Linked DNA regions of Drosophila melanogaster. The main gene of each other region encodes a partner of the protein of the gene in region 2 in a complex. Each region holds a gene or a part of one and is shown on either strand. Other genes may lie near its edges. The genes, in order: Ada2a, Chrac-14, Mocs2B and PolE4.

Evidence for each region.
Region 1: Chrac-14 (region 2) and Ada2a share a complex: the UniProt entries of both Drosophila melanogaster proteins name them as parts of the ada2a-containing (ATAC) complex.
Region 3: Chrac-14 (region 2) and Mocs2B share a complex: the UniProt entries of both Drosophila melanogaster proteins name them as parts of the ada2a-containing (ATAC) complex.
Region 4: Chrac-14 (region 2) and PolE4 share a complex: the UniProt entries of both Drosophila melanogaster proteins name them as parts of the DNA polymerase epsilon complex.

The regions. Positions count from the first base shown.
Region 1 is NT_033777.3:18,250,775-18,259,703, reverse strand, and holds Ada2a (transcriptional adaptor 2a), read left to right. Parts: upstream 1-4,216; 5' UTR 4,217-4,323; coding exon 4,324-4,387; intron 4,388-4,467; coding exon 4,468-5,329; intron 5,330-5,387; coding exon 5,388-6,150; 3' UTR 6,151-6,248; coding exon of another isoform or gene 6,249-6,429; intron 6,430-6,491; coding exon of another isoform or gene 6,492-6,666; 3' UTR 6,667-6,861; downstream 6,862-8,929. Other genes in the region: Tgs1 (trimethylguanosine synthase 1), read right to left, coding at 2,096-3,496; moi (modigliani), read right to left, coding at 3,493-3,832, 3,892-4,088; Polr2D (RNA polymerase II subunit D), read left to right, coding at 4,324-4,387, 6,249-6,429, 6,492-6,666; CG12320 (uncharacterized protein), read left to right, coding at 7,005-8,144; CG18598 (uncharacterized protein), read right to left, coding at 8,226-8,360, 8,426-8,560. UniProt on the Drosophila melanogaster protein: Component of the histone acetyltransferase (HAT) complex ATAC; predominantly involved in acetylation of histone H4, including at Lys-6 (H4K5ac) and Lys-13 (H4K12ac).
Region 2 is NT_033779.5:8,433,715-8,440,587, forward strand, and holds Chrac-14 (chromatin accessibility complex 14kD protein), read left to right. Parts: upstream 1-3,690; 5' UTR 3,691-3,790; coding exon 3,791-4,177; 3' UTR 4,178-4,282; downstream 4,283-6,873. Other genes in the region: D12, read right to left, coding at 495-2,513, 2,571-3,461; mus201 (mutagen-sensitive 201), read left to right, coding at 4,662-4,749, 4,813-4,988, 5,058-6,873. UniProt on the Drosophila melanogaster protein: Accessory component of the DNA polymerase epsilon complex. Participates in DNA repair and in chromosomal DNA replication. Histone-like protein which promotes nucleosome sliding of ATP-dependent nucleosome remodeling complexes.
Region 3 is NT_033777.3:25,122,802-25,130,542, forward strand, and holds Mocs2B (molybdenum cofactor synthesis 2B), read right to left. Parts: upstream 4,559-7,741; 5' UTR 4,546-4,558; coding exon of another isoform or gene 4,273-4,545; 5' UTR 4,263-4,272; coding exon 4,134-4,262; intron 4,073-4,133; coding exon 3,766-4,072; intron 3,642-3,765; coding exon 3,366-3,641; intron 3,302-3,365; coding exon 3,033-3,301; intron 2,974-3,032; coding exon 2,851-2,973; 3' UTR 2,831-2,850; downstream 1-2,830. Other genes in the region: vig2, read left to right, coding at 598-678, 831-1,314, 1,789-2,555; Mocs2A (molybdenum cofactor synthesis 2A), read right to left, coding at 4,273-4,545; Clbn (caliban), read left to right, coding at 5,010-5,065, 5,131-5,860, 5,932-6,809, 6,872-7,741. UniProt on the Drosophila melanogaster protein: Catalytic subunit of the molybdopterin synthase complex, a complex that catalyzes the conversion of precursor Z into molybdopterin.
Region 4 is NT_033778.4:22,408,541-22,415,371, reverse strand, and holds PolE4 (DNA polymerase epsilon subunit 4), read right to left. Parts: upstream 3,584-6,831; 5' UTR 3,519-3,583; coding exon 3,338-3,518; intron 3,284-3,337; coding exon 2,997-3,283; 3' UTR 2,790-2,996; downstream 1-2,789. Other genes in the region: qkr58E-1 (quaking related 58E-1), read left to right, coding at 1-232, 298-802, 863-964, 1,090-1,271, 2,032-2,177; qkr58E-3 (quaking related 58E-3), read left to right, coding at 3,923-4,079, 4,139-4,260, 4,321-4,685, 4,744-4,833, 4,976-5,061, 5,352-5,485; VepD (Ventrally-expressed protein D), read right to left, coding at 6,344-6,589. UniProt on the Drosophila melanogaster protein: Accessory component of the DNA polymerase epsilon complex. Participates in DNA repair and in chromosomal DNA replication. Has a role in cell cycle progression. Required for wing morphogenesis.

The DNA.
Region 1 (8,929 bases), on a different chromosome or scaffold from region 2:
ATAATGACAAAGTTGACGCGTGACGGCCAATTGCACGGTATTTTAATAACAATCCGAACAATAAAAGTCAGTTTTAATCACCGGCAACGAGCTTACTTTGCAATTTGCATTAGAAATGGTGTATTATAGTACTTATGGCAACGTATTCCTTTTTTATTATTCCTTTTTTTTGTCATTATGTCATTATTATATTATTATACCATAAACTCAGCAAGTGGCAGTTTGAGGGAGATCGACCAAAAAGACGAAACTCTTTTCGAAGCCCCGCATCTAGCGTGGTTTAATGGGCGTGGCCATCTTCTCCTACTCAATCTTAATTTTCTTGCTTTTATAGATTCCAAGAGCTCGGCGTTCATATGGACAGCCGGAAAGACATACGGATTTGGCCATATCCACTGGGCTAATGATCCTGATCTAGAATATATCAACTTTACGGAGTCGGAAACGCTTCCTTCTGCCTGTTACATAGTTTTCAACGAATATAGTATACCATTTTACTCTACGTGTAACGGGTATAAAAAGGTAACAAATAGTTGCATAATTCTTTCTGAAATATATATGTATTAGGAAAGGCATAAAAGGATGCTCATTACTTTTAGTAAAATGTCTTATAGAGCAAATTGGTTTATATTTATTTTTTAACGTATCTAAACAAAAACTTTTTTAACATCATTTCTGATATCATTAACTATATCAACTCTATATATTTATACTACAACTATATACTATATACTATGTACAACTATATCACTGATATCAACTATAAGTTCTGGCCTGAACTCATACGCCAAATTTTACGTATCATATGTAAATCTATTAAAGCCCACAACATTAAACTTTACATTTAACTTAAATTTAACTTTGTATACAATTAAAAACTATAATATTCAGAATATTCGCCTTACTCTTGTCAAAATATTGCCATTTTCCAACCAACTTCCCACTAAAATCCGTCGTTCGCAAGGCAGCCCACAAATCAGCGCCGGAAAGAATGCTCCAAATTTCGCTCGAGCTGCTCCGACGCACACTAATAAGTTAATCAAACTAATTGCAGTGGAAAGGAGCAGCCACTTGCCGCAACTGGTTGGGGCGCGGGGTTGGGGGATAATGGAGGAAGGGGTAAATATCTCTGTTGCCAGTTGGCAGCTATAAATTCCGCACATGCCCCGCCCACCGCCCACTGGCCACACCACAAGCCCCTTCAAGCGAACGCACCCCATCCGAAAGAGCTAAGTAAGCTGTAAGCCATGAAAAGGGTTGTTGCTTCTGGTTCCGGCTCATCGTCTGCCGTCTGCTGTGGAATGCCGAAGGAACTGCTGCCTGCGCCGCGAGACGAGCATGTTAATTGCCCCCGAACCGACGTTGCCAGGTTCAGCAGGATGCGGCTGGCTGCCTGTGTTCCATGGCTTTTGGGCCAAGTCACAACTTGTGGCACAAAGTTCTTAAAAATTGACGCACGCTTTGTTTCCTTTTGCGTTTTAATTAAAAGTCCAATGCCAGTTGCAAGAAGGGATTGCGGAACGTTATGGTTATGACCATTGACCATTGGCCAGTTGAGCTTTGTTAAGCCATCTAAATTGGCTAAAGAGCTTGGACTCTTTGGCATCGCCGGTCACTTGGCAACAATCACTGCACTGAAGGGATGGGTGAAAAGATTTTACTCTTGCGTTACATGTGAGGCGGCTTTATTCATTAGTCAACTTTTCTCCTATCTTTCTATGTGGCAAAAAGAGGGAAAAACTTAAGGCGATAAACAATGAACAAAAAAGTTGTTGACCATAGCCAACATTTTCCTTTGATCCATAATTACAGGAATTTGTGAACTCTGTGTGCTTATATGCTTCGAGTTTAATTAAAGATACTTACCAAATCATTTGTATTACATATTAGTTAAAATGCCTTTCATAGATTTATTTTCATATTATGTTATTGGCTCGTTTTGAATATGATTTATATCTAATAATAAGCAAAAAATGCCATGAAATTATGAGCCCGTTTTTTTTTTTAAATCCATTCAACTATACATATGTATGAAATTAAATATATTTATTTATATAAAAACAATGATGTTATTAAAATTACTCTCAATCGAATCCTACTCATCTTCTCCCACTGAACCCTTTATGATTCCTTTACCATAATAAGCAGTGAGCGCAACCATTCGGGTGTCCAGATAGTTGTGCTCCACCTCGCACTGCTGCCCAACTCCACTTAGAGCGACCACCTGCTTCATATTGGCGTTGCGTGGCAGAAAGAAAGCTACGTCAGATGCCAGGCTACGGGACAGCTGCATCAGTTGGCTAGCACCCACGGGCAGGAGACCTGTTTCGATATCAAAGGTGGCCTGCTTTTGGTAGTCAGGACCACCCCACGGAGGGCTCAGGAAAACCACATTTGGGCGCAGCTTTGTGCTGGCCGCAAACTGCAGAAAATCGGCGTGGATAAACTCGATCTTATGGGCCACACCATAAATGCCGGCATTATGCTTGGCCATGGCCAACTTCTCGGCATCGATGTCCACAGCAATTACGCGTCCACAGGTGTTTGCAAACTGAATGGCATTGCCGCCGCATCCACAGAAAGCATCTACGATCACGTCGCAGGCCAGTCGTCGGGCCGTTTGTTTGGCAATCTTCTCGGGTGTCACCGAGAACCAGCTCTCGCGGTCCAGCCGAATGCCCTGATCGAAGCGGGAGAACAGCGAGAATCGCTTGACCCAGTACTTGACCATTTTGTTGTTATCCTCTTGCATGCACTCTGGCATCCTGGCCTTGAGTTTTTTTATTTGCCTTTGCCGTCGTTTTTTCTTTTTAACAGAACCGCTCTGAACGCCGTGCAGAGCCTCGTTTTCGTTGTTCTCCATGGTCAACAGATCATGATCGTCCTCGCTATCGCTGCTAGATAGTTCGTACTGTGTCTTTCTTTCCTTTCTATAATTAATTATATCTGCCTTCGACGCAAATGATGTTGGCAATCCGAGAAGGCGCAGCTGTTGTTCCTCGTCACAATCCTCGGGATCGTCGTTGGCAGTCAAGTATGATTCGTCCTCCTCTTTCTCTGTGACCCTTTGCTGTTTCGATTTTATTGGCTTATTTGTAAGGCTTAGGTTCTGCAAGTCCTCCTCAACATCTTCTGAGTTTTCAGCGACGTCAAGGCCAAATGATTTGGCCAAATCGTGTTGGTAGTTCTCAAAGGCACAGCTAAATATATACCAGAACTTTTCACTGTAATCGCTGGCGTGCTTCTCCCACAGTTCCTGCCAAAGGCCTTGCTCCTCCGACGAAACCACCTCGATAAGATCTTTGTATTCGGGAAACCGCTTGTGCCACTTTTGCTCGAGCAGCTCATGCCCCTCACGCTGCCAGAATTCTTTCCAGGTAACGTTTTGAATGCCCCCCCAATTGCAATTATTCCAGTCGAAATCGTTACCAAAGAGCTGACTGAATATATAGAACTGCGGATTGGTTCGCGAGGTGGTCAGGTGGTGTGTGTTCATTTCTCGATCAGACTTCTCATCTCCAGCCTGCGAGTCAGCAAGTCCTCGGCTCTGTCGATGACCTGGATGTACCATAAGTCGATGGCCGGTCTGTAGGTGGCAAGTAGCGCGCTGAGATACTGTTTTTGGGCCAACGGATCGTTGGACAGACTATTGATCTTGTCGTAGACACCGCCGGCGGTCAGTTTGGCACCTTTGGGATGCTGCACATTATGTAGCACCACTTCACCACGCACAATGCAGTAGCGGCCGGTACTCACGCGATTTTCGACGACTTTGTCATGGGTAAGGCCAAGAATAAGCAAGGATACGGTGCCCTCGCCCAAGGAGTACTTCCTGAAAGATGCAGCATCATTGGTAAGGACCGGATGGATAGGTAATATAGAAAAACTTACTTTGGCAAACACTTAACGCGCACGTTTTCTAGGCGGTACTGATTCGCCTTGAACGCCAGACGTCCAATTAATGCGCACTGACCGTAGTGCAGGTTGTGGTAGGAAGTTTCCAGCTCCAGTTCCTCCACCAGCAGGGTCTTGAAGAAGTAGCAGTACTTGGGCGCTCTCGAGGTAGAGGCTTCTGGCACCAGGGACATAACTCTCTTGGAAAAAAACCAAGAATTCCGAACAAAATCAAAACACCCGGAATGATAAACTCAACATGCTTGCTAGTGTGACCAACGTATCTACGCACGATGCGACCCACCTATCGATAGCTTCTTCGCCAGTTATAGCCCTGCCTTTCTCATCACTAAAAACAGCGACATTTTATTGTGCAAATTAGAATTTCTTAATATAAACTTTAACAAACTGAGCAGTTCTTAGCTCACTATGTCTTTTATGAACCCCGTGGATATGGTGGATGAGGACGCCGCCGACCTGCAGTTTCCCAAAGGTAACCAACGCCCTACACCAACCGAAATGCAACTTACAAGTGAAACTGGCTGAAACCTTTGGCTTCGAGTGCCCCAAAAGTGGCACTCCTCCACATTTTTACCACACTGAATTGCCTCTTTGCAGTTGAGCCACTGGGGCCACAGGTTAAGCGGTTCATCCATGCACATCAGAATGAACACACCAGGAACTCCATGGTTTTGTATAATCCGCACACGTTGCACAGGTACTTGGAGGAGATGGAGGAAAAGACGCGGGACCAGAATAGCAGTGTTCCATCGGCTACAAAGGATGCCAATCGGTGTGCCACATGTCGCTGCAGTCTCACAGAGCCGTACATTAAGTGCTCCGAGTGCCTCGACACCCTGCTCTGCCTGCAATGTTTCTCACGTGGAAAGGAGGCCTTTTCTCACCGCAATAACCACGCTTACATCATAGTCCGCGACAACATACAGGTTTTCGCCGATGAGCCACACTGGACGGCACGGGACGAGCGCATACTGCTGAAAACACTTCGCACCCACGGCTATGGCAACTGGGAGGCGGTCTCCCAGGCTCTGGACCAGCGCCACGAACCCGCAGAAGTGCGTCGTCACTACCACGATTGCTACTTTGGCGGGATATTCGAGCGGCTCCTTAATCTGAAGCATGCGAGGGACAGCTATGTGCCCGAGCGAATGCCGTATGTCTTCAAAATGCGCAGCTTGGATCCACCACGTCATGACGACATCGCCTCCATGCAGTTCAGACTAAGCGCAGGTTACCGCTGTGCAAGAGGAGACTTCGATACTCCGTACGACACCTCAGCAGAGAGTCTGCTATCTATTATGGTGGATCATAGGGGCAGGGATGACGACAACGAGGCGTCTGAGAGTGAGTTTGAGCGCGAAGTGACAGAGGAATTGCAACTCGGACTAGTTCGGGCATACAACAATCGCCTCAGGTATGATCTTATAACAGAAAGCTACTAAAAAAAATCTAATATGCATATTTACTCACAGAGAGCGCCAGCGTCGTTACAAGATAATGAGGCAACACGGTCTCATAATGCCCAATCGCACCGTCAGCTGGATTTCCAAGTACGTGCACGCCTTTGGCAGCGATGCGAGTTGCATGCGTTTCTTGGGCTTCATGCAGATCTGTCCTGACCCCATTAAGTTCGATATGCTGTTGGAGTCTCTGCGTTATTATCGGGAGCTGCATAGCCAGCTGCACAAGCTATACGATCTGCGGGAGCACGGCGTTCGAACTCTTTCCGGAGCCAAATTATATGCCCGCTTGAGCAAAGAACGTCAGCAGGCTCAGCGAGATTACAGCAGGCTGAAGCAAACAGATGCTTTCGACTGGCAGCAATTGGTGCAGCATTACGAGAGCAACAGGAGCGGTGATCCTGGTCCCCTGGCCATTAACTCAAAGTTATATGTGATGAACACGCGTCGAAAGGCCAGTCCCATTGAGATTGGAGGTGGGAAACACTTTACTCATTGCCTGACACCAACTGAATATAATTTTTCTTTGATCCCAGATCTGCCTGGTTACTCCAAACTGGATGATGGCGAGCGAAAGTTGTGCAGTGTGGCTCGTCTGGTTCCGCAGTCGTATTTGGACTACAAGAATCAACTCGTTACGGAGCAAGCAAAGCTCGGATATCTACGACTGGCCGATGCGCGACGTCTCATCAAAATTGACGTGAACAAAACGCGTCAGATCTACGATTTTCTGCTGGAACATGGCCATATCAGCAGACCACCGTCCTATGGCTAGGGCTAATTTTTTCTCCAATGTTTCACTTGTAAATTTCCTGAATGTCGTCAAGTAACTAATTCAAGAAAAAAAAACCCTTTCGTTTCTCTTTGTTTCAGAGTTCGAAAATGCCGAGACGCTGCTGATATCGGAGGTGCACATGCTTCTCGATCACCGAAAGCGACAAAACGAATCCGCCGACGAGGAGCAAGAGTTCTCCGAGGTCTTCATGAAGACGTACGCCTACACGGATAGTTTTCGAAAGTTCAAAAACAAGGAGACCATAATGTCTGCGCGAAGGTAATGTAGCAAAACCGAACAAAGCACGTACGAGTAGTAATATTCAATTATTTCAAATTCAGCTTGCTGATGCAGAAAAAGCTGCACAAATTCGAACTGGCGGCACTGGGTAATTTGTGTCCGGAGGCGCCCGAGGAGGCCAAGGCGCTGATTCCTTCACTAGAGGGTCGCTTCGAGGATGAGGAGCTGCGCCAAATACTCGACGATATCGGCACTAAACGCAGCTTACAATACTAATTACTACTACGTATAAATATAGTTTAGATATAAAGTCATGGTCCACTTACACAATAAAGTGAAGAACAGCAAGAATTTTAAGTAAATGCAGAATATACACTGTAACAAAAATCAACAAAGTCTAAATACAATGTAATTATATCAAACAAAAGATTTACTTAAAAAAAAGTATATATAAATTGAATTTGCCGCTTGAAAGAATTGTTTGTCTAGTGTTGCCAGACTGCTCACATGAAAGAACTTATCGAAATAGCCGTCACATCTGGCAACTTGCTGAAAGGCCCGCACTTGCAATTGTTTTCTTTTTCCTAATAATTGCAAGCGAACAATATTTCACAATGAACAAGGACAACTCCAGCATGAAAATGGATCCGCAGCTAGCCCTACGCCTCCTGGCTGATGGCGGAGTGCTGGTCATCGCCGGTGTACCCGAGGGCACGGAATTCGGCATTGATCTTTGTGCCTACACCATTGGTCCGGATTTCCGAGGCGTCAAGATGATTCCACCCGGAGTCCACTACGTATGGTGCTCCTCCCGTGGTCCCTACGGCGATGCAGCCCCTCGTGTTGGATTCGTGCACTTCTTCCATCCGAATGAGATTGTCGTACGAGAGTGGGACCACGAACTGGAGGAATTGCGCCCGCGGAGGATTGCCGAACCGGAAGTGGAGCGAGACCGAATACGCAAAAACCTAGCCCAACTGGAGCGCGTGCTGGCGCCGTACGACTATCGTTACGTGGTCCAGTGGAAGGAACTCACCGGCAGCGTGACGGAGTCTTGCGTGGATCGCTGCCGTCCGACAGAAGGAACCATCCGTACGAACATCGAACTGCAATCCTGCCCGGACGCAGATCGGCCGCGAGGTGGAGCCGCTACTGTCAGCATAAGCCGCCGGAATGCTGCAGCTCGGATTCTCTTAGATGAGAGCGAACTCCTACCGGACCTTAAGCCCGTGGAAGGAACAGCTCCGCGCTTCACTACCGTACCCCTGCGTGTTCCACAAGATGCCCTGCCCGCTGATGTTTCCCGCCATGCCTTGGACTGCATCGATGCTGTTGACAAACTGCTCGAAGGCTTTGAAACGGCCGATGGACTCATTGAGGAACTGCAGCTGGCTTACGCATTTTTCCTAGTGGGCTACTCTGTGGAGTCTCTGGCCCACTGGCGCAAGCTTTTGGGCTTGCTGGCTCACTCGCAAACGGCGGTCACCAAGCACAAGTTAACGTACATGAAATACAGCGAGGTTTTGGCCCACCAGCTGCCCCATCTGCCCGAGGAGCTGATGGTGCCTGGTCCGCATAACACCGTCTACAAAGATGTACGCGAACTGCTGGTCAATCTGCATGCGGGCGGCTTAAGTGTCAGCGCTGAGCGGCTAACTAAGCGGCTGGAGAAAAAATTGGGATGGGAATTCGAGGGCCTGCTAGACGAGGATCCCGAGGACCAGCCTGTAGTCATCGAACTTCCGGAAGCCTAGGAGAAGGGCGCTACGCATGTGAAGTGTAATTCATATATTTGTAATACAATGGACTGAAACTGATCTATATTGATTTCTACTTTAACGCAGCGAATGCTGGGTGCGCAAGTAATTCCACAGATCCCGAGCCGTGCGGATGCTGACCATGAATTGGCACAACTTGGTCTCGATCAGGCAGAGAATCAAGAACTTGGCCCGCTTGTCCTTTAGCAGGGACTGCAAGGAGTATGGCATGGACATGGGTTTTCTGTAGCCATAAACGGCGCCACACCATCACTCACCTCCTCGTTGTTCTCGGGACCATTCTCCACCACCGTCCAGAGTTCCTCCGACTCCAGATACGCCCGCACCGTCATCGACCAGGCCTTGTAGTTGTCCAAACCTTTGAGCTTCTCAATTTGCAGCTGCAGTGCCATCTCCGAGACTCGAGCAACGTTTCGCAACTAAACCGCATTCGGGCCCTTTGCTGTTTCCTTACCTTCGCCTCTTCCAGCTGTTGTCCAGATTTTTAAATATAGATATCTTAGTATTTGTATCTGTATGCACACGGCTTTTCCATTGTGCACATCAGCAAACTGAAAACAATGGCCACTAGACCCACTTTTCGTGTTGCTTCTGGCCCAGCTATACATTCAGCTTAAGTGGACACTTCTGATTTGACGCAGAAGCGCTGTCGCTTTATGTGCCTGCCTGCTTGTATTTTCCGATGACCACAGAATTTAGTTTGACATATATTTCTTCTGAGCAGCAGCAGTGCGCCTTCTAAGCTCGCATCTTTTGGATGC
Region 2 (6,873 bases):
AGATGCGATTGCGACCGATAATAGTCGAAGAATCATATGGATATGCTAAGAGCTGCAAAAAAAAACCGCCCTTTAACAGTTATTCAATTTGTTAACGGCACTTTTCACTGCATACTTCTAGGGCACTATAAAGATATATTACTCTGTGAAGATAGCTGATAAGACTTAAAAATGTTTACATGTTTCGTACAAATATGCAATTGTAGCGATTATTATTTATATTGATAAAACAATTTAAAAGTCTTCAGCCAGATATTCAAAATTTAAAAATTAATGACCACTCATCTCATGATTTCGTCCAAAATATGATAATCGTTGATAATTAAAAACGCAGTATTCATTTCTTCGGACATTAATTTAGTTAATTTATTGCTTAGATTTATGCTTACCAACGAGTACAAGGCTCTAATTAGATATCAACTAATATCCCAGTAGAATTTGAACTATGACGCGGACTTGATAAAAAATAAATTCAAAACAATGGCAACTGCACATTAGATTTGTGGTTCTATCGGAGCAACTCCCAAGTGACTGTTTCCGAGGAAATCCAATTCGGAACACAGACTGATGACACGGCCTATGTCCTGAGGTTGGAGACACAACGGAGCATTGGCCGCCGCCGGTGGCAACTGTTCCAAAGTCTCCTGTTGCAGTTTCGCCGCCAAGGAGCGGCGCACCAATTTCTCAATAAAAGTGCGCAGCACTTGTCCGAGCATCGAGAGAGCCAGTGGCTGGGAGACGCCAGGCGGAGATTCCTCCGGTTCCAGTGTGATATTAATGTCCTTGCACATTTCCTGGACCAGCTGCAAGGTCGAATCCAAGTGCTTCGGCGGAGGTAGATAAAGTAGTTGGCGATGATTCACCATTTGGAAAGATACATCTGCTGAGTTTGTTAACCTGGACGCAAGCGGATGAGGTTTGTCCACACCCAACACATCGATGAACTCCTTATCCCGCATCTGTTGATCATGACCAAGCAGACGATCGGATTGCTTGGTTATCCAAGCTTCCAGCCGATTGCCTGAGCTGAGACTGCTATAGGCCGACAGTTGCGGTTGGGGCTCGCCCTTTAGTTGCGCCTGAACACGCCGAGCCAGTTGCTCCTCATCGCTCAGTTTTTGTTTTCTCTTTTCATGCACGACAGGTAAAACATCTTTGAGAGCTGGCGTATAACCATGAACCCTGGCGAACGCCACTATCTCCCGTAAACTCCAGTAGTGTTCCTTTCCACTAATGTCCAACTTATGCAGCTCGTGGTGCTGCATCAGACAGCGACGGAGCATACGTGCGCGCAGGTACTCAAAGCAACGTTGTTTTAGAGCAGTGTGATTGTGGAACTCTTCGAGGGTTATACAAGTGAATGGATACTCCTTTTGCTGATCAATCGACGCAAGCGGGAGGCGGCTCAGCAGGAACTCCACAGCACTGCGCATATTTCGGAATTGTGCACTTCTAAAGATGTGCTCCAGCCTTCGGGGTCGCGATTGTATGGTAGTGTCCACAATTGGAGGTAACAGCATTGGCTTTTCCTCCATCTCGCCGCTCATGTTGGCGTACCCATGATCGTGCTGCATGCACTGCAGCATATGCCATCGCGTTTCTGACGGTGGCTTAAGAAGACTCAATTGTGGTTTCAGCAGGGATTGTTGCTTTGCAGCCTGCTTAAGCTTGCGCTGCAAGGGATCGATAATGTACAGCTTTCCTGCTCTCTGAAACACAACATTCTTCTTGCCCTGGTGATGGCCATTGGGCACAGGCTTTATTGGTGGCCGATCCGACGAGGATTCCTTCCACGCTCTCTGCGGAGATGCCGGTGGATAGTGCTTTACTGGCGAAAACTCCTGCCGCTGCCTTTCTGGCAAGGATTCCTGCCTAGGACTTCGGCCGTTTACTGGCAGATAGACCACAGAAGGCTTCGAAGCGGTGACCTGAGCCGCATTTAACCGAAGTTGAGTCCTAGGAGGCGATGACGGAGTGGGTGGCTGCTTTCTTGGACTGTAGTTTAACTTCAGGGGCTCTGAAACCAACACAGTTGGTTCAATTTTCTCAATGTCGTCGCTGAGTTCAATTTTGTTGATACCAGCAAACAGATTGTCATCAAGTTCCTCCTTATTTTGAGTGATTGAAATGGTGCGCGGTTTGCATGACTCTCCAGGAAAGGCGAAAACCGAAGGCTCTAAAACATTCGGAGCAGCCAGAGGTGGAGCAGGAACTGCAGTCTCCTGTTCATGGGGAGGATGAGGTTTGCCGCTTTTCTGTTTCGTTATCGCCTGTTTTGCTCTCAGCCATATTTCCACAGTGGTCTCTGCGCCCATCGTGTGCAGTCCACACATTGTTTTATCCAGCACCACCGTGTGCATTAGTTGCACGGGTTTCTGCTGCAAGTGCTCTTGGAAAAATAGCTGGATGCGCATCGGAAACTCGCCCCAACCATGTCGGTTAAGCTGAAACGGAGACCTGTGCACGTCCACGATGTCGTTTGGGCGGTATGACGGATGGAGGTGGAAGCGCACCTAGAATTGCGAAGAAGAGATTGAATCACTCCGTACGTGCTTATGGGAATTACTTACCTTTTTAATGTATTTTTCAAGTGGTTCAGGTAGATCTTTGCCTTGCACATAGACCAACCACTTATAGGTCAAAGCATTCCCACCTGTGCCATTCTCTCGAGAGTCTTCGCCAATGTATTTGGAAGTATTACCCACCACGAAGTTGAATTTGTTCTTGTTATTCAGCCGCGAGGCATTCAGCTCCACTTGCCTTTCGTGGGCCTGTCGGCTGGTGCACGGCTGCTCGTCCTCCAACTTAACGGAAATGGGAGGTTCCTGCTCTGGCTGATCTTTTTTGTCCTTGGAGTGATCGGTTACGATGCCCTGCTCCTTGATCTTCTGTTGCCGCCTTCGTTCCGCCCGACGATGAGCCGGATTCCTCAGTCGGATGGTTTCTTTGGCCAAGGTGGCCGCCGTGCGCTCTGGCAAATGATTTTGGATGACAACAGGGCGCTTGCCAACGATTTTTTTAATGGCTGGATGCAGTGGCAGCTGCGGAGCGGCTATGTCGTCCCCAAAAAGGCTGTCGCCGCGCACTTTCGCAATATCCGCGCCGGTGAGGGGGACCTGCTGCTTTCGGTAATATTCGCTGACCACCTGATAGCGTAGTCTGTCCAACAGTTGTCGTCCTTGCAGCAGTCGTCGGTCGATCTCGGCCAGCTGCTCGACCTTCTGAGAGATTTCGCGCTGGAACTCCAGACGAAGCAGCTCCCGGATGCGCTGAAATTTGTCGGACAACGGCAGCATGCCATCCGACTGTTCCGTCTTGGTCCACTTTCTTTGACCGGGCGACTCGGCTTCTGCGCAGGTTTCTTCCTCATCCTGGCTAGAAACTTCCGTTTGCTGATAATCTGGATCGTGGTACTCGCTGTGCCTGCGTTTTTTTGGCGGCGTCGCTTGTTGCTGGTCCATGTGCGTGGTAGCTGGCACACGCACAGGACTTGTATCACGTTAGTTCGGAGGGGAACAGCTTCAAGTTTGGCCCGAATCGCTCCGTGCACATTTAGGCCGGGGTAATTGGCTGTTATTTATAAAAATGTGTAAACAATTGATGCGAACGAGGCGGCGCAAACAGAATTGAGTGGGGGAGTTGCCACATCGCTGGTGTAGATGCGTGCACGCTGGCCTTGTCCAACACTGTTCAGCCAGCTGTTTACTCTTTACGCGGGAAGCAAAGACGCCGAAATCTAGACGGAAAATCAAAAGTGCCCACCAAGTAAAAGCAGATAAGCAGCAGCAAAATGGTCGAGCGCATCGAGGATCTTAACCTGCCGAATGCCGTGATTGGCCGGCTCATCAAGGAAGCACTGCCGGAGTCAGCTAGTGTCAGCAAGGAAGCGCGAGCAGCGATCGCCCGAGCGGCATCTGTGTTTGCCATCTTCGTGACATCCTCGTCGACGGCGTTGGCCCACAAGCAGAACCACAAGACCATCACGGCCAAGGATATTCTACAGACCCTCACCGAGCTAGACTTCGAAAGCTTCGTGCCCTCTCTGACGCAGGATCTCGAGGTCTATCGTAAAGTGGTCAAGGAGAAAAAGGAGAGCAAGGCCAGCAAGAAGGATTCCAACACTGCCGAAAATGCCAACGCCAGTGCCACCGCAACAGCAGAGGAAGCCCCCGAGTGATTACGAATAGGAGAAACTATACGGATCAATTATCCTCTTCAGTCATTAAGAACAAAGCTAGTATTGAGCATTAACAAAAAACATTAAACATAGGCATTATCTAAGAACTTCACTTGTGTTTTGTCACTTTCCTCAAAGACTAAATTATGTTGTTAGTCAACGTTTACATGGGATTAATTTGGGATTGTAAGTGACGGTTGGAATTACACCCTTAAATAATGCCGCATTTCAATCCAGTCCGATCTAGTTTTTTACGCCTTCATTCAAAGTATATAAAGGTGTCAGAATAATATTTAAGTATTTCAGTAATTATTTGTTTATATATGTGATCAGAAAATCACTGTTTTAAAAATCATCCAGATAGATAACCGCGTGTTCTTTCCAGCACTGGAAACAGCTGTTTAAAAAAGCGCGTCTTATCGCAACAAAAAGTTTAGTTAGTTATTATTTTGCATGTTTTATACAATTAATATTTTAGTAGAAAATGGGAGTTACGGGCTTGTGGAAGCTCATTGAGCCGTGCGGCAAGCCAGTCCCCGTAGAGACTTTGGAGGGCAAAATCCTAGCAGTGGGTAAGCATCGTTTTTCGCCACCTAATGAAATACTTGCTGATTGGAGTACTTTTCGTCCTGCAGATATATCGATTTGGTTGCATCAGGTTGTGAAGGGCTTTCAGGACAACAAGGGATCGGCCCTGAGTAATGCCCATTTACTGGGTCTATTCCATCGTCTCTGTAAATTGCTATACTATCGTGTGCGACCGGTTTTCATTTTCGATGGATGCGTGCCGCAGCTTAAAAGGGACACTATTGTGAGTTATAATAGGGGAATATATCAAATTCACTCTCTAAATTAAATCCTCTTTATGTCACCCCTTCAGGCACGTCGCCAGCAGCAGAGGAATAAGCTCAGCAACGAAGCTGATCGCATTCAGGCTTTGCTCCTTCAATCCCTGGCCAAAGAAAAAGTAGTGCAGCAAGCGCTGGGCAAGAATGCAGAGCTACTGTTGAAATCCCCGGTTAAGCGACCGCCTCCAGCTAAGAAGAACGACGAGGATGACTTGTTTAAGCTTCCCGAACTGCCGGCTGCATCGGTGCAAGATAATCAAGATGAAAGCGAGCAGGACACCAGTGCCAGTGCCTCAGACAGCTCCTTTGACGAGTCAACCGCTCGACATTCTTACAACTCTAGCTTACAGGCCATCGATGTAAAGAGTCAGCATTTTCGGAATCTGCCAGCCGATGTGCGACACGAGATCCTTACAGACATCAAGGAGACGCGCAAGCAATCGTCGTGGGGCCGTCTGCACGAGTTGCCCGCCCGCAGCGATGACTTCTGCTCCTTCCAGATGAAGAGACTCCTCAAGCGCCGAGCCGTTCAGGAAAGCTTAGAGCAGGCGGAACAGGAGATGGGCGGACATACGCTTACCTATGCAGAGTTGTGTGACTTTTTCAATGAGGAGGGCATTCTCACCCCAACGGCCATTGAACAGTGCACCCGACAAATTAGCTCGGATGAACATACACGATTCCTGCTGGTCAGGGATCTTAAAAAGAAAGCAATGGAGAGCACCAAACAAGAGGTTAAAATGGAGATGATTGAGGAGGTACCCGCTGAGGAGGAGGATGAGAAGCCAAGCACTTCCACCAAGAAAGAGGCTGTGAAAAGTGTGGACCTAGGCACAGAGTTCGATGAAGATTTGGCCAAAGCACTGTCTATGTCAATGGAGGAGACCAAGGTGTACGATGAAAAGGACTACGAGTACGACTCGGACCAAGAGTTGCGCCTCAATCGAGCTCAAACCAAGCAATTGCGCCATGCGGCCAAGGGACCTGCACGGGCCTATATGATTGAATACGGCGGAATGAACGACGAGGAAGTTGGCAACATCATGGAGGCCACTCAGTTCAATGACACTCAAAGCCTTGAAAAGTTGCTAGAGATCACGACAGTCCCGACCGACATGGCTGACAACTCGATTGAGGAGGCCAAACTTATTTCACAAGCTATTGAAGAGAGCAAACAACTATCCCAAGCAATTGAGGAAAGCAAGAAGAATCTTAACGAGGACAAGGTGGAGATTGTAGATACTGATACCGACTCAGACTTGGAGGAAGTAATGGAAGTTCAGGAGCTGGATAAAGGCAAGAAGAATCTTGAGATTTGTGTTGATATTACTGGCCAAGCGGATTCGAATGATCTGTTTGCGGATATTTTTGAGGATGGAGAGGCAAATAAAATAGAGAAAACTATAAGCGTCGAGGAAGACGATGACTTTATAGAAGTGAAAGACAGTGAGGAATTAAAATTGGATACTGAAGATGAAAATAAACCAATAACGAATAAGAGTATTAAAGAAAGTAATGAAGTCAAGCCGTTCATTGATGAAATTATCGAAGTGAAAGATAGCCAAGAAGCGGTTCCTGCAGAACCTAATCTCAAACCCGATCTGGAATCAATTTTAAATGATCTGAAAAAACAAACGGCTGCGGTTAAAGATATTCAGCTAAACGTAAATGAAGAAGAAAAACCAAAACCAAAGGTGGAAATCAGTTCTATATTGGATGAGCTAAAAGTAAAGATGGCCGACGTTAAAAACATCACTCTAGATAACGTGAAATTAAGCAATAGTGTCCCTATCATACTATCCTCCGATGACGAAAGTACCTTGAAATCCTCGAAAATAGTTCCGAAGC
Region 3 (7,741 bases), on a different chromosome or scaffold from region 2:
TTACTTGCATCAGGCCGAAGAGGACAGAGAATTTCGATGGCAACGCATCAAAGAAACAAATGTCACATTTGTCTCTACGGGCCCAAAAGTTGTTCTCCTTCTGGCGATGGGCCGACTGCTAGAGCTGGTAGTGACCTCTACCTGCAATCGATTAATCGATTGAGTACATTTCGGTATTATTTATGAAATGGAAATTTAAATATAATGTGAAATTTTTTGATATAGAGTGAATTATTATAAATATGGAAATCAATAATTACCATTCACATTTTACGTTATTTCAAAACAATCGATAATTACCATTATTCTGTACAGTTGCTCGTTACTCACCATTTGGTATCTATCGGTTAAACATTTATAATAATATTTGGTTATATTAATAAAATTGCAACACCTTCAAAATAGTTTAAATTTGTTATACATTTTTAAGGTATAACTTTTCCTAAATTATTGTAAATATACATATATGGTTTATTTAAGGCTGTAAATTATCAAATCCCTTTTCAAAAACCAACCATTGTTCAGAAAATATAAATTATATATTTTAATTTTTACAGATATATACTGATATTGAACCGGCAACTATCGATTGTCGAAATGCAATTAGCGGAGAAACATATCGTGGCCCTTATGTTTCCTGCAATCGATGTTTCTACCTTCACTTTCGTTTCCGGCGTGGTGCGTAAGTTGCTCCGCGTTTTCGCAATTTTAAGCGATTATCACTTTGTTTGAACTCTAGGCCGGCCATGTGCCTATAAGTTAACAGCAAAGCATATCGTCGCCATTGGGACCAAAGTAACTCTCAAATCTGGTTCAATTTTAATCCGTAGAAATTTTACATCATGGACAATTCTGGAAATAACCGCTACGAGCTGTTGTTCATGGACGACGATGACTCCTCTGGGCTCGCACAGCCACAGATTGCCGCTGTAGTCGCGGCGCCCAAGAAGCCGGAACCGGCAAAGGCGCCAAAGGCACCAAAGAGCAAGTCGGAGAAGGAGAACAAGCCGGTTGTGGCTGCCCGCAAGGCCAACGCTCCGGTGGCTAAAAACGCTAGTCCAGTGAAAGGCGGCAAGGGTCCCGCTGGCGGGGATGTGGGTCGTCCCAAGAACCCAACAGCAAACGGTGCCAACAACCAGGGCAGGTTCAACAACAACCAACGCTACGGAAATAAGGAGTCGAACGGAGAATTCGGAAACGAGTTGCCGCAGCGTCAATTCAACAATCGTGACAACAGGGGACCACCACGCGTCCGTACCGGCGAGAAGTTCGGAAAGCGCGAGTTCGATCGCCAGTCGGGATCCGATAGAACTGGTAATTATGTCTAGATTCTTCTGTCCTTGGTTTTCGTGTTTGCTTCTCAAGTGAATCCGTTTTTTCTGCGTGGAAAATGCTGCCCTGTAATGGCGGCATGCTGCAAAATATAGAGAAAACGCAACCCTTGGCAACAAGATTGATTACATATCGCGTATTTCTCACGTGACTTTTAGGCATTTGTAATACGCAAAACGTTTGAAAACGTGTTTGTAAATATTAATTTTAAATGATGAAATAATGAAATTACTGCGTTGCAAACTCGTGTGTTCACACATGTGTTTTCTTGGACATTTTTTTGTTTGATTTTTTTGATTTTTGATCTTATAATTTATTAATTTATTAATTCGTTACCGAAAATATAAAATTCGTTTGGTTAAACTTTTAATTTGTCTTATACGGCAAACATTTTCCCGAAAATCCTCTTTACTCATATCGATTGAAGCCTATTAATAGCTGATTTATTCTCCACAGGCGTCAAGTCAATTGACAAGCGCGAAGGCGGTGGTGCCCACAACTGGGGCTCCCCGAAGCAGGACATTGAGGACTTAAAGACGACCGGGGAGACCTCACCGCAGGCGGAAAAGGAGGACTCGGCCAACGAACAGTCGGCTGATCCCGCGGTCGCCGCCGAAGAGGATGAGTCCAAGCAGATGACCCTTGACGAGTGGAAGGCTTTGAGAGACCAGCGTGCCAAGCCCAACTACAATTTGCGCAAAGCGGGCGAGGGAGCCGCCGACAATGCCGAGTGGAAGAAGATGATCGTGCTGAGCAAGAAGAAGGAGAGCAACAGCGAAGACGAGTTGGAGTATGATCCATCGCTGTATCCTCAGCGCGTGGGCCGCCTTCAGCGCATCGTGGACATCCAGTTCAACTTCAATGATGGACGCAAGGTCGGATTCCGCAAGGGACCTCGCCCCGGAGCCGGTCCTCGCGAGGGTGGCTTCCGCAATGACGGACCTCGCGGAGAAGGTGGCTATCGCAATGACGGACCTCGCGGAGAAGGTGGTTATCGCAACGACGGACCTCGCGGAGAGGGTCCACGCAATGAGGGACCGCGTGGAGAAGGCTACCGCAATGACGGACCGCGTGGAGAGGGATTCCGTGGTCCCCGCTTTAACAACGGACCCAGCAACGGCTATGAAAACAGACAAGACAACAACAGATTCGGAGAGAAACGCCGCTCCGCCCAGAAGCCACTGAAGGTTGACGATGAAGCTCAATTCCCCACTCTGTGCTAGGAGTTGAGAACAACAATAAGATTTAATAATTTCGCGTATTAAATAATTAGTAAGCTGGTCCTTCGGTTAACAAATAACCATTAGATTTTCGGGCGCGATCTATGAAGCTTGACGACCGATTAATAAACAGAAACAAATCAGCCACGCTTATCCATATTCCTTAGTTGTAAACAAAAATTTTTGCATTTTTCACTCTCATCATTTACGCATAAAAAAAACTATTACAAATAGTTGGAATGTTGAAATAAATTTACATCAATTACAAACCAAGGAATAATAATTAATTAGGTTTTTATTAGCTTAATTCGCTGCCATCCTTAATCTTTTGAATGAATGCACTTAATTCTTGCGCCGAATACGATTTCTTTCGGCTCTTCTTCGGCGGCGCGGCTTCCATAGATGACGGTTCACGTTTGGTCTGAGAATAGATTGAATTTTTTTAGAACTGCAATTACAGGAAATGTTTTAAGAACCTACGAAGTGTCTGTACTCGGGCGAAATGGACTCCAGTTGCAGCAGTCTATTTTCCACTCGTTTGATTCTACTGAAAATGTTTTCCTCGTTGTCGGTGGTTAGACCCATGTACGATTCAATTGCCTGTAGTCGTGAATTGGGTAGCGATTTCCTCATTTCTTTGGTTGGATCCGTTTGACCGTCACGCGATCCCATTAGTTTATTCAGTTCGAGTTCGTAGTTGGGTCGCATTTCCATTTGCTGAGGTCCGCATCGGTTGTTTACTCGTCGGACTGTGATAGGTTGTTTGTAGACCAAAGTGGCTATAGTTATGAAAATAGAGCATCGTTTACCCACCTTTTAAATGGCAATTTGACTGCTCCTGCTTAATAATTGTGCTCTGCGTTCGAGCGCAGGAATCGCTCAAGTTTTGGTCTGAGCTGACAAAAGACGATTTGAAGTCAATTACATTTTGTGAGTTTATTTCGTCTCGTTTTCTGTTGACAAAACATTCTAAACGCTTGGTTAACTCAGCGTCATTAACTCTAATTTGCACCAGAGTTCGCGGGACGTCATGTGACTCCTCAACTTTGCAGGGACAAGCGGCGTAGTTGAAGCCACTTTTCGATTTCTCTACAATGTACATGCACAGATGAGAGAGAAGCCAATAAAATCGTAAACGCTCGATTGTTAATTATATTTACAAGTGTACAAATAATAAGAATACATGTCATGCTGGCTACTCATAAGATCTTACTAGGCCTGATGGACTCCTTGTTCTCCTTCCATTCGCTGTCGTTATCGCCGTCGTAGATTTCCTTTTTCCAGATGGGAACCCGAGTTTTTAGCTGGTCTATTGCAAAAGATACTGATTCTAAGGCCTCAGAACGATGTGGTGACGAGGCGGCTATAACTACACTGGCTTCGCATACGGGCACTGTTCCCAATCGATGATATATGACTATGTGCTTCAGATCGAGCCACTTAGATCGGAGATCTGAGCATATTTTATTCATTTCCTTGAGTGCCATGCTATCGTAGGCCTCGTACGCCAATGACAGCACCTGAAAGGTCGAAAAGTACAAATGAATCAATGAAATCAATTGATTGAGATAATGAAGCCACCTTTTTCCCTTGAAAATTATCGCGCGTAGTGCCCACGAAAACGGATGAGGCTCCACAGCCTTCATCGGCCAGCAACTGATGGATATGAGCGATATCTATGGGGTCGTTTACCAATTTCACGTGATCCATGGCGGAAAGGTTAGCCTCCACTCAGTGGCGGTATGATGGCGAGTTCGTCTCCTTCCTTAAACAGAATTCTATCACTCAGGTTGTCAATGTACGACTCGTTGTGGGCCAAAATCAAGTTATCCCGGATGGAGGTCAGGCCAAATTTGGACACCAGGTGGTCCAGCAGTTCGGTGGCAGTAATTTCAGTAGGAACTTCCACTGTCGACCGGGGAGTGTTTGCTAATTCACGGGATTTAGCAAAGAACAACACGTGCACGTTGACAACAGGTCCATCCGCATTCATATTTACAAATGAAGATTGGCGATGACACAGCAGTTCCATTTTCCGACTACCTATGTATCGATTTCTTATCGGAACGAAGTGGAATAGTCCACGGAAAGGGAAACAGCTGACTGAAACTTTATTAAATGCTTAATAACTTTTTAGATAAATCAAAGAAGCTTCTTACTCATTGCATAAACAATACAAATATTTAATACATAGTAATTATACAGCGAATTCATTCTGACAATCCGAATCATCAACAGCATACAATCGATATATTTTGTTTAAAGTTCGTCCATCGCAATTTACACCGATACTTAATTTCGCAAGTGAATAAAATTGTTATTATTCCCTATTAAACTAATTTAACTTATCTAACGTAGATAGCGAACTTGTGAATATTTAATGATAAGTTAAGTTGCCAGATAGATTCTTTTTTCTTCACTTTCCGTGTTGACATCGTCAACTTTCCATAAAGAACCATGAAGACACGTTTCAATACCTTCGATATAATCTGCGGAGTGGCGGAACTGCAAAAGTATGTAAAAAATCCGGATAATTCCGATGCCCAGGAATAATGGTACATCTACATTTATATTCCAGGCTGGTCGGCTGGCGAGTGAATCAGATCTATGACGTGGATAACAAGACCTACCTCTTCCGGATGCAAGGGACCGGTGCAGTGGAGAAGGTCACTCTGCTAATAGAATCTGGTACAAGATTCCATACCACTAGGTTCGAATGGCCCAAGAACATGGCTCCGTCCGGTTTCAGCATGAAGTTGAGGAAGCACTTGAAGAACAAGCGCCTGGAAAAGGTTCAACAGATGGGTAGCGATCGTATTGTTGACTTTCAGTTCGGTACCGGTGATGCCGCCTACCATGTTATTTTGGAGCTCTACGATCGTGGTAATGTGATCCTCACCGACTACGAGCTGACCACGTTATATATTTTGCGTCCGCATACGGAGGGCGAGAACCTGCGCTTCGCCATGCGCGAGAAATATCCCGTGGAACGGGCCAAACAGCCCACGAAGGAACTGGAACTGGAAGCTTTGGTTAAGCTGTTGGAAAATGCCAGGAACGGCGACTATTTGCGACAGATTCTAACACCCAACTTGGACTGTGGTCCGGCAGTTATAGAGCATGTTCTCCTCTCACACGGCTTGGACAATCACGTTATCAAAAAGGAAACAACGGAAGAAACGCCGGAGGCGGAGGACAAGCCGGAGAAGGGCGGTAAAAAGCAACGTAAGAAGCAACAGAATACGAAACTGGAACAGAAACCATTTGACATGGTTAATGACTTGCCAATTCTTCAGCAAGCAGTAAAGGTAAGAACAATATCGTGGAAATATTTATTATTGCTGTTAAAGTAAATAAAACGTTCTGTGCAATCTTTTAGGATGCTCAAGAGCTTATAGCTGAGGGAAATAGTGGAAAAAGTAAAGGCTACATTATTCAAGTTAAAGAGGAAAAGCCTACAGAGAATGGAACGGTGGAGTTTTTCTTTAGAAACATCGAATTTCATCCCTACCTCTTTATTCAATTCAAAAACTTTGAAAAGGCCACATTTGAGTCCTTTATGGAAGCCGTTGATGAATTTTACTCTACGCAAGAGTCGCAAAAGATTGACATGAAAACGCTACAGCAAGAGCGTGAGGCACTAAAAAAGCTGTCTAATGTCAAGAATGACCACGCAAAGCGTCTAGAGGAATTGACAAAAGTCCAAGATGTGGACAGAAAGAAAGCAGAGCTAATAACGTCCAATCAAAGTCTGGTGGATAATGCAATTCGGGCTGTTCAGTCAGCTATTGCCAGTCAATTATCCTGGCCGGATATTCACGAGCTTGTAAAGGAGGCACAGGCAAATGGCGATGCTGTAGCTAGTTCCATAAAGCAGCTTAAACTGGAGACTAATCATATATCCCTTATGCTCAGCGATCCATATGACAACGATGAAGACGACGATCTTAAGGATCCAGAGGTTACTGTTGTGGATGTCGACTTGGCTCTGTCTGCTTGGGCCAATGCCCGTCGATACTACGATATGAAACGTTCGGCTGCTCAAAAAGAAAAGAAAACTGTAGATGCTTCCCAAAAAGCTCTTAAGTCTGCGGAGCGCAAGACGCAGCAGACGCTCAAGGAAGTGAGGACTATATCGAACATAGTAAAGGCACGGAAAGTTTTCTGGTTTGAAAAGTTTTACTGGTTTATCAGCTCTGAAAATTATTTGGTTATTGGAGGAAGAGATGCCCAGCAGAACGAGCTTATTGTTAAAAGGTTTGCTTTCAATTACTTAAATAGATCGAAGTATTTATAATTATGACATGTTGTTATTCCAGATATATGCGTCCGAAAGACATTTATGTGCACGCTGAGATTCAAGGCGCCTCGAGTGTTATTATTCAAAATCCCACAGGAGAAGAAATACCTCCCAAAACGTTGCTAGAGGCAGGATCCATGGCTATTTCGTACAGTGTTGCTTGGGATGCCAAAGTGGTTACCAACTCGTACTGGGTAACAAGCGATCAGGTCAGCAAAACTGCACCGACTGGAGAGTACTTGGCAACGGGAAGCTTTATGATCAGAGGAAAGAAGAACTTCCTTCCCTCCTGCCACCTGACCATGGGTCTAAGTTTACTTTTCAAGTTGGAGGATAGCTTCATTGAGCGCCATTTGGGAGAGCGTAAAGTTAGAAGCCTGGAGGATGATCAAATAGATCCAAATGTTAAAGAAAACGAAGTTGAACATGATCTTTTGTCGGATAATGAAGACGCTGATTCAAATATAAATCTATCGGAACCAAGCTCCAATACCGAAATTACAGCTTTTCCCAATACAGAAGTTAAGATTGAGCACGATACTGGTCGCATTATAGTCAGATCCGACTCCGTAAATCCAGAGATTGAAGAGACTAAAGAGAGTGAAGTTGTCCTAGACAAAATTTTGAAAAAGACGGACGATGAAGAAACGACCATTATTTTGGCTGGTCCAAGTCGTAAAAAGCAAGTAAGTGCCAAAAAGACCAAGGAAGACAAGGCACGGGCGAAACAAGAAGCTGCCAAGCAGGAAGTCCCTCCTGTGAGTAGTGAACCAAAAAATCCATCTCAAGTTAAGAGAGGTCAGAAGGGAAAGCTCAAGAAAATGAAGCAAAAATACAAGGATCAAGATGATGAAGAGCGGGAAATTCGCATGATGATTCTCAAGTCATC
Region 4 (6,831 bases), on a different chromosome or scaffold from region 2:
TACAACGAGGACGCCGCCGACTACAAGCGGAAGCGACGCGACGAGGAGCCAGCGGCTACCGGTGCTCCAGAGACCCCTGAGGCGGATGGCGGCGGACACACCACCAGCCACGCCGCCCTGCGGGACACGCCCCAGCTGAATGAGAAGACCAACGCGTATCTGCAGGAGTGCCTGCTGGAAAAGAAGACGCTCGAGAAGAAGCACATCATCACCAAGCGCTTACTTGACGACGGTGAGTTAGGCGCTGCGACATGTAAGCTATAGTGGATCTAATTGCAATTTTTCATGGCCCCGCAGAGGTGGAGAAGATCTTGGTCAGCGGACGCATACCAAAGCCCGAGATATATGCCAACGTGTACAGCGAAAAGCCCATCCGCGTGGCCCAGAAAGTCTTGTTCCCCATCAAGGAGTACCCCAAGTTCAATTTCGTTGGCAAGATCCTGGGGCCCAAGGGCAACACACTGCGGCAGCTGCAGGAAGAGACTATGTGCAAAATGGTGGTTATGGGGCGCAACTCGATGCGCGACCACGGTAAGGAGGAGGAGCTTCGCAGCTCCGGAAATCCAAAGTACGCCCATCTCAGCCGCGATTTGCACGTGGAGATATCCACGGTGGCCCCTCCAGCGGAGGCCTATCACAGGATCAGCTATGCGCTAGGCGAGATCCGCAAGTTTATGATACCCGACGCCAACGACGACATTCGGTTGGAGCAACTACGCGAGATGGATGGCAAGGAGCGCATGTACAAGAAGTCTCACCACTATTCCAAATCCTATGGCGATCATGGCGCCTACAGTTCCCGGTAGGCTTGTCAATTTTCGTTGAATTTTAATTGGTTACTAAGGAATTCCTTTCGTCACAGCACCCCGCCCCCTGCTTCTTCAAAGCCCAAAGTCTATTCGATTCTGGAGAAGGCTCGATATGTGATGGACGATCCCAACTATGGGATCGTAAAGACGCACAGGTTAGCTAAGTTCAATCGCGTTAATGATGCCTTTAGAAGTTAAATTCTTATGCTTTCAATAGCGTGCATCTGTGTTATCAACCATTGTTAGAAAACCCTCCTTTAATCCCTTACTTTTTCAACAGATCACGGGACCACGAGCTATATGACCACCATGGAGAATATGATCGCTATGCCACACCGCCGCCCCAAACATCAAAGCACTCGACCCACCACGCCCAGTATGACAGTAGCTCCTACGAGCGCGACTATCGGCGTGAGTATCACCCCCACTCGTCCTCCTCTTCCTACGCGGCGGCCTATCCAGGTAAGATACCTAGATTTCTAGACCAATAATCTCTTCCCCTCAGCAGGCATGTAAAAATAAACAAAATGAAGAAAAGAAAAAGAATACGACAAATAGCAATGTAAACGTTTAAACTTAACTCGCGCAAATCAAAACAAAAAAAAAACTCGAAAACAAAACAAAATCTATCCAACTAAGCGCCGATAAATTGAAAACGCAGAAAAAAACAGAAACCAAAAAAGAAAAAGAAACAAGGCCGCGTACCAAAATTATTAAAACGGCAACCCATCCCATTTTAACAAGATTTTAAATGCACTATGCCTGAACAGAGGCCAAATCAACTAAACCGAACAGCAACCAGTAAATCATCTTCATTAATTGGACGACTACTAACATACTCACAAGAAGCCAGAGCCAAAATATTAAAACAATCGATCAAACAATCAAATTACTGAAATTCACACTTTGAAAACAAAACCATAAAACTTCATGGCAAGAAACCCAAAAATATTTGAACATGCTTAAACTATAAAATCCAAGCTGAAAGGTTTGTGGAACAACTTTTTTTGAAACGTGATGAAACGAAATGCATTTTACTCAAAACAATAACGTTTCGTAGGGTGTAGTGCATTCAAAACCGGTTAAACAATATATTTTTCTTTTTTTTACAATGTATATATGCTAAGCAAAAGAAAAACCAAAAACCAAAAAACAGCACCACAGAGACAGAACAAGAAACAATTTAAAGTCTAAACAACAAATAAAATTCTTTTCAAAATAGCAAAACCAAGCAACGGTCGTTCATCATCGTCATATCGACCAACCACCTCGGGCTCGGGATCACATTCATCTGCTCACTACGAAACTGGATCCCGATCTCGTGAAAGCGTGCGATATCGCTCGGCTCCATATCCGAAAATACGTTAACCCATCGATTTTCCAAAACCCCAAGAAACCAACCTCAACAACAACTACAACAACAACAACAACCACAACTAAACAATGTTAAGCGTAAAGATTAAAATATATTCCAACGAAATATCAAAATGTTTGAAGTCAACAATCCAACTATTCACACCTATTAAATATAATATATAAACGAAAATCAAATAAAAAACGTAAATTTTTATTGCAACTGTTGTCCGATATTCAAATTGTGTTTAAAATTAAAACAAGAAACCAATAATGCAACAAATTTTATCCTCAAAAAGATTGTAAAAACAAAAGACATACTTCAATCAACCTAATACTAGTTAAAGCCAATACGAGAAGAGAACTAAACACAAGCGAAAACCCCCCCAAAACAATTAATTTATCAAAGCATAATTTTAGACTAAGCTTGAAAATATTGTTTCATAAGATAATGGAGATAAAACCAACATAAAAAGCAAAATATAAACTACAAATGTATGTGCCCAACGACAAAGTAAGTATCGCCTGCGGACAGAGTATGATTAACAAACAACAAACCACACTATTCAGCAGTTAAATAAATTAACCAAATGCCGGCTTCGTTACAAATTCCGAATAGCAAAGAGTATTGTGAAACGTTAAACGTTGTCGTTTATAATTATGATTTCTTTTTTGTTTTTTTTTCTTTGCGAATCAACAATTGTTTTATAACTTAAATATTATTTTTAACATAAAACCATAAGGACGTTTAGAACTGAATTTGTTTGCCGCTGAATATCCCTAAATAAAGTATAAAAGTATAATCGACAAATCCAGTTTCATTTGTGGGGGTGTTCAAAAGTTCATGGCTCCATCAAGGAATAGCAAACTGTCCACAGCAGAAATGGCCATATCCACGTCCCTCTTTTGTATGGTTTTCTTTTTGGACTGCGCCGTGTAGGTATATGATTCCCGTGACAACGAGGCTATGAATAGTTCCACTGCCTTCGCCACTATGAACACGGCCTCATTGTTGGCCATATGCAGATCCGGATCTAGTTTCATTATGTTCCGTATCCTGGCCAACGGCAGTTGTGTCATCTTGGCTTCGTTATCAGCAGGGGCCTTGTTGCCATTCGTCACTGGAAGGAAAGGAGCCATATAGGAGAAATTCTATCTAAGTGCATCTAACTTACCTGGTTTTTCTGTCAATTGTTCTGTTGTAGATTCTGCCTCAGGATTATCCGGCGATTCCTCGGTGATTTCCAAAGGCTCTTCTGTTTCCGCTAGCTCCGCCTCCTCAGTCTCCATGGCCTGCTGATGCTCCAAGTCCTGTTCTTCCGAGAATTCAGCCTCAAATAGTTCCTCGCTGGCCATTGCGCACTATAAAAATTGAAAACAAACCAAGCGAATGCAATCCAAATACCATATTTTTAGAGATGAGTATCAAGGCAGCCGCCAAAAATATCGATATTGCACCATGTATGAAATCGAAATGGTGGCAGCTCCGCTATCTTCTCGGCGAAGCTCCTTACTAACAGATTTAACTTTTTAAAATAATCTATAGTAATTGTACTACTTCTGTGTTTCAAACACGACATTTTGTACACAGTGGAAAAAATCGACATTTAAACAATCACTATTGAATTAAAAAAGTTGGCAGCCCGAAAACTTCACACGCTTGGCAGCTCTGCCATTATTTTAGTTCATTGGTGTACATACTGTTTTTCAGTCTACACCATTTTTAATTGTAATTTTCTGTAAAGATTGTTATGATAAAAATGGAAACCCCAAGCGAGTTTACTGAGAAACAGCCACCCACCCACGATCACCAGCCGCGTCTTAACGAGGTGGCCCAAAAGTTTCTCGCCGATTTGGACGAGGAGCGCCAGCGATTGTCCGCGGACTTTCCACTTTGCGCACTGCTAATCGACGAGGGTAAAATCAATTTGGCCCTTTTACAGGGTATTTTAATGGTACTAATCCCAATATTGCAGCTGTGGACCGTGTCTACTGCACTGGTCGTATTCCCGGAAAAGAGTTCTACGCAGACGTGTACAAGCAGAAGCCGATGAAGATTACCCAAAAGGTCTTCGTGCCCGTAAAGCAGTATCCCAAGGTGGGTTTATACAATTAGCTGTCCTCTCCGTTCGAAAAATAAATCCGTACCCTTGCGCAGTTCAACTTCACTGGCAAGATCCTGGGGCCCAAGGGCAATTCGCTGCGTCGCCTTCAGGAGGAGACCCAGTGCAAGATTGCCATTAAGGGTCGCAGTTCGATCCGCGATCGTAACAAAGAAGAGCAGCTGCGCAGCACAGGCGACCCGAGATATGCTCATCTTCAGAAGGACCTATTTTTGGAGGTCAGCACGGTGGCCACTCCGGCGGAGTGCTATGCCCGCATAGCCTACGCTCTGGCCGAGATCCGTAAGTATCTTATTCCAGACAAGAACGACGAGGTTTCACACGAACAGCTGCGCGAGCTGATGGAAATGGATCCCGAGTCAGCCAAAAACATTCACGGACCGAATCTGGAGGCCTACAGGTAATCTTACACCCTATGCAGCCTTTGGGCATGAGAATAAAAATATATTATTTTGCAGATCTGTCTTCGACAAGAAGTTTGGAGGCAACAGCAATGGGGCTCCCAAATACATCAACCTGATTAAGAGAGCTGCGGAAAATCCGCCCGAGTAAGTTACTTGTAAAGTATAATTTTGTATTATTTAATGACCCCACCAGGAGTAATGGAACCGAGAGTCCTCGCGTCATAGTAGTGCCTTAAATCCTAGCCAACATCTGTTAACCCAGCAATTAACATTTTCATTTTTATAGAGTCGACGATGTGGAGGAGGTGGCCTATGAGTATGAACATCGTATGCCCCCCAAGCGTCCGCCTACGGGCTATGAGTACAGCAAACGTAAGTTAATCCCAAGCATGCATTCTTTATTTGGGTAGTGCCGGGGTCTATGACATAAGATCGATTTTTCCCCTGAATGCACCAGTTTTTTGGGATGCACCTTTGACAGGAACTTTGGGTTATAGATTAGATTAGATCATACTATCAAAACCAATAACTGTGATTGAGCAAGCTCTCAGATCAAACTATATAATACACTGGAATGATTAATATTATGCAACGATTCACTCCTTTATAGTAATTACATACACGCATAAAATACTACAAATAATAATCAACCAATTTTATAGCACGTCCATCAATAATACCGACAAACGCAGCGGCATATAAACGTCCATATCCGACTGACATGAAACGTATGCGCGAACCGCCCATCAAGTCCTATAAGCCCAATCCGTATACAATACTTAAAAAATATAAATAATAGAGCTCCGGTTGATTTCGTCGCACACCGCTATAAATGAAAACAAAGGACAATGCTTACGTTATAAAATCCATGCTGGGAGCACATTGAAAATACTTTAATCAAGAAGAAAGCAGCATTCAAAATGATGCTATCAATTAATAAACATTAATATTTATAAAACGCGCACTTGCGCTATCAATTCCCACAAACAATATTAATCTTAAATTTGTATATCCATAAATATGTTAAACTGTTGGCATGCCTTTTCTGGACCATTTCAACAGATAATAAGTCAAATAATTCCTATTATGTTTAAATTATGATTTCCCGAGTTCGTAATTTTCTATGAATGTAATAAAATGATACGCATTGAATGAATTTAATAAATTCTCTGCAATCAGATCTAACTATCCTATTCTTTTAAATGACTCGACCCCTCATTTACCATGAATATATGCATTACGTAATTAAACAATTGTCTCACTAGCAGTAGAATCAAGAGGTTTATATCTAATGAAATAAAACCGTGCGAACTTATCACATTGTTTAATCAAAAAAAAAAAAAAAAAAAAAAAAAACGAAATGAAGATCACATCAAGACCTTAAAGTGCGTCTAAAAATAAGTTAATAAACTATTATAAATTTATAAATGAAAAAGAAAAAACATTGAATAAACATATAAAGAGTTTGCATAACTAAAATATTTCAGGTTTTTTCAAAGTATTATTTTATTTTAAATCTGATGGGTAAGTAGCTTAAGTTTAACTGTTAATGTCTAAAGTAAGGCTATAAAGTTAATAAAGGCTTAAAACAAATGTCTGTCTATCTTTGGATATATTTTCTATCAGGGATATGGTTTTCTTTTGTGTTGTTCAACTAACATTGATATTGCAAGGGCCTCCCAGTGAAGCTGGCTATCCAGAACTTCTTCCTTATCTCATATTCATTGGCTTCTGTGGAGCGTGTATGTTCCTGGGCTTGTAATCTTAGCAGGATTCTCTGATAGACCTCATACGCAGTTTGGGGCTGTCCACAACGACTGTTGCCGCACTGCTCAGAGAACTGTGGCTCCTCGACGTAAGTATCCTCGATCGAAAAAGGATTCTCGCTGTGCGGTATCATCTGAATGATATGGATGTCTCAGGCCTGATTCTTGACACAACTGATAGGCGAGCACTCACCTTGGCTTTTTTCACTGACGCTGATTTACTCCGCTGACTAGATGTGTGTCCTGGCCGCTATGCAGTTGACAACTGATCCGGAAGGCGAAGTAGTCGCTTGAGGCTTGTGCCACCACCATAAGTACCACCCTTAGAAGCCACCATATGGTTGCCAGGCCCTGCGCACGTTGCGGAATTCCTCCT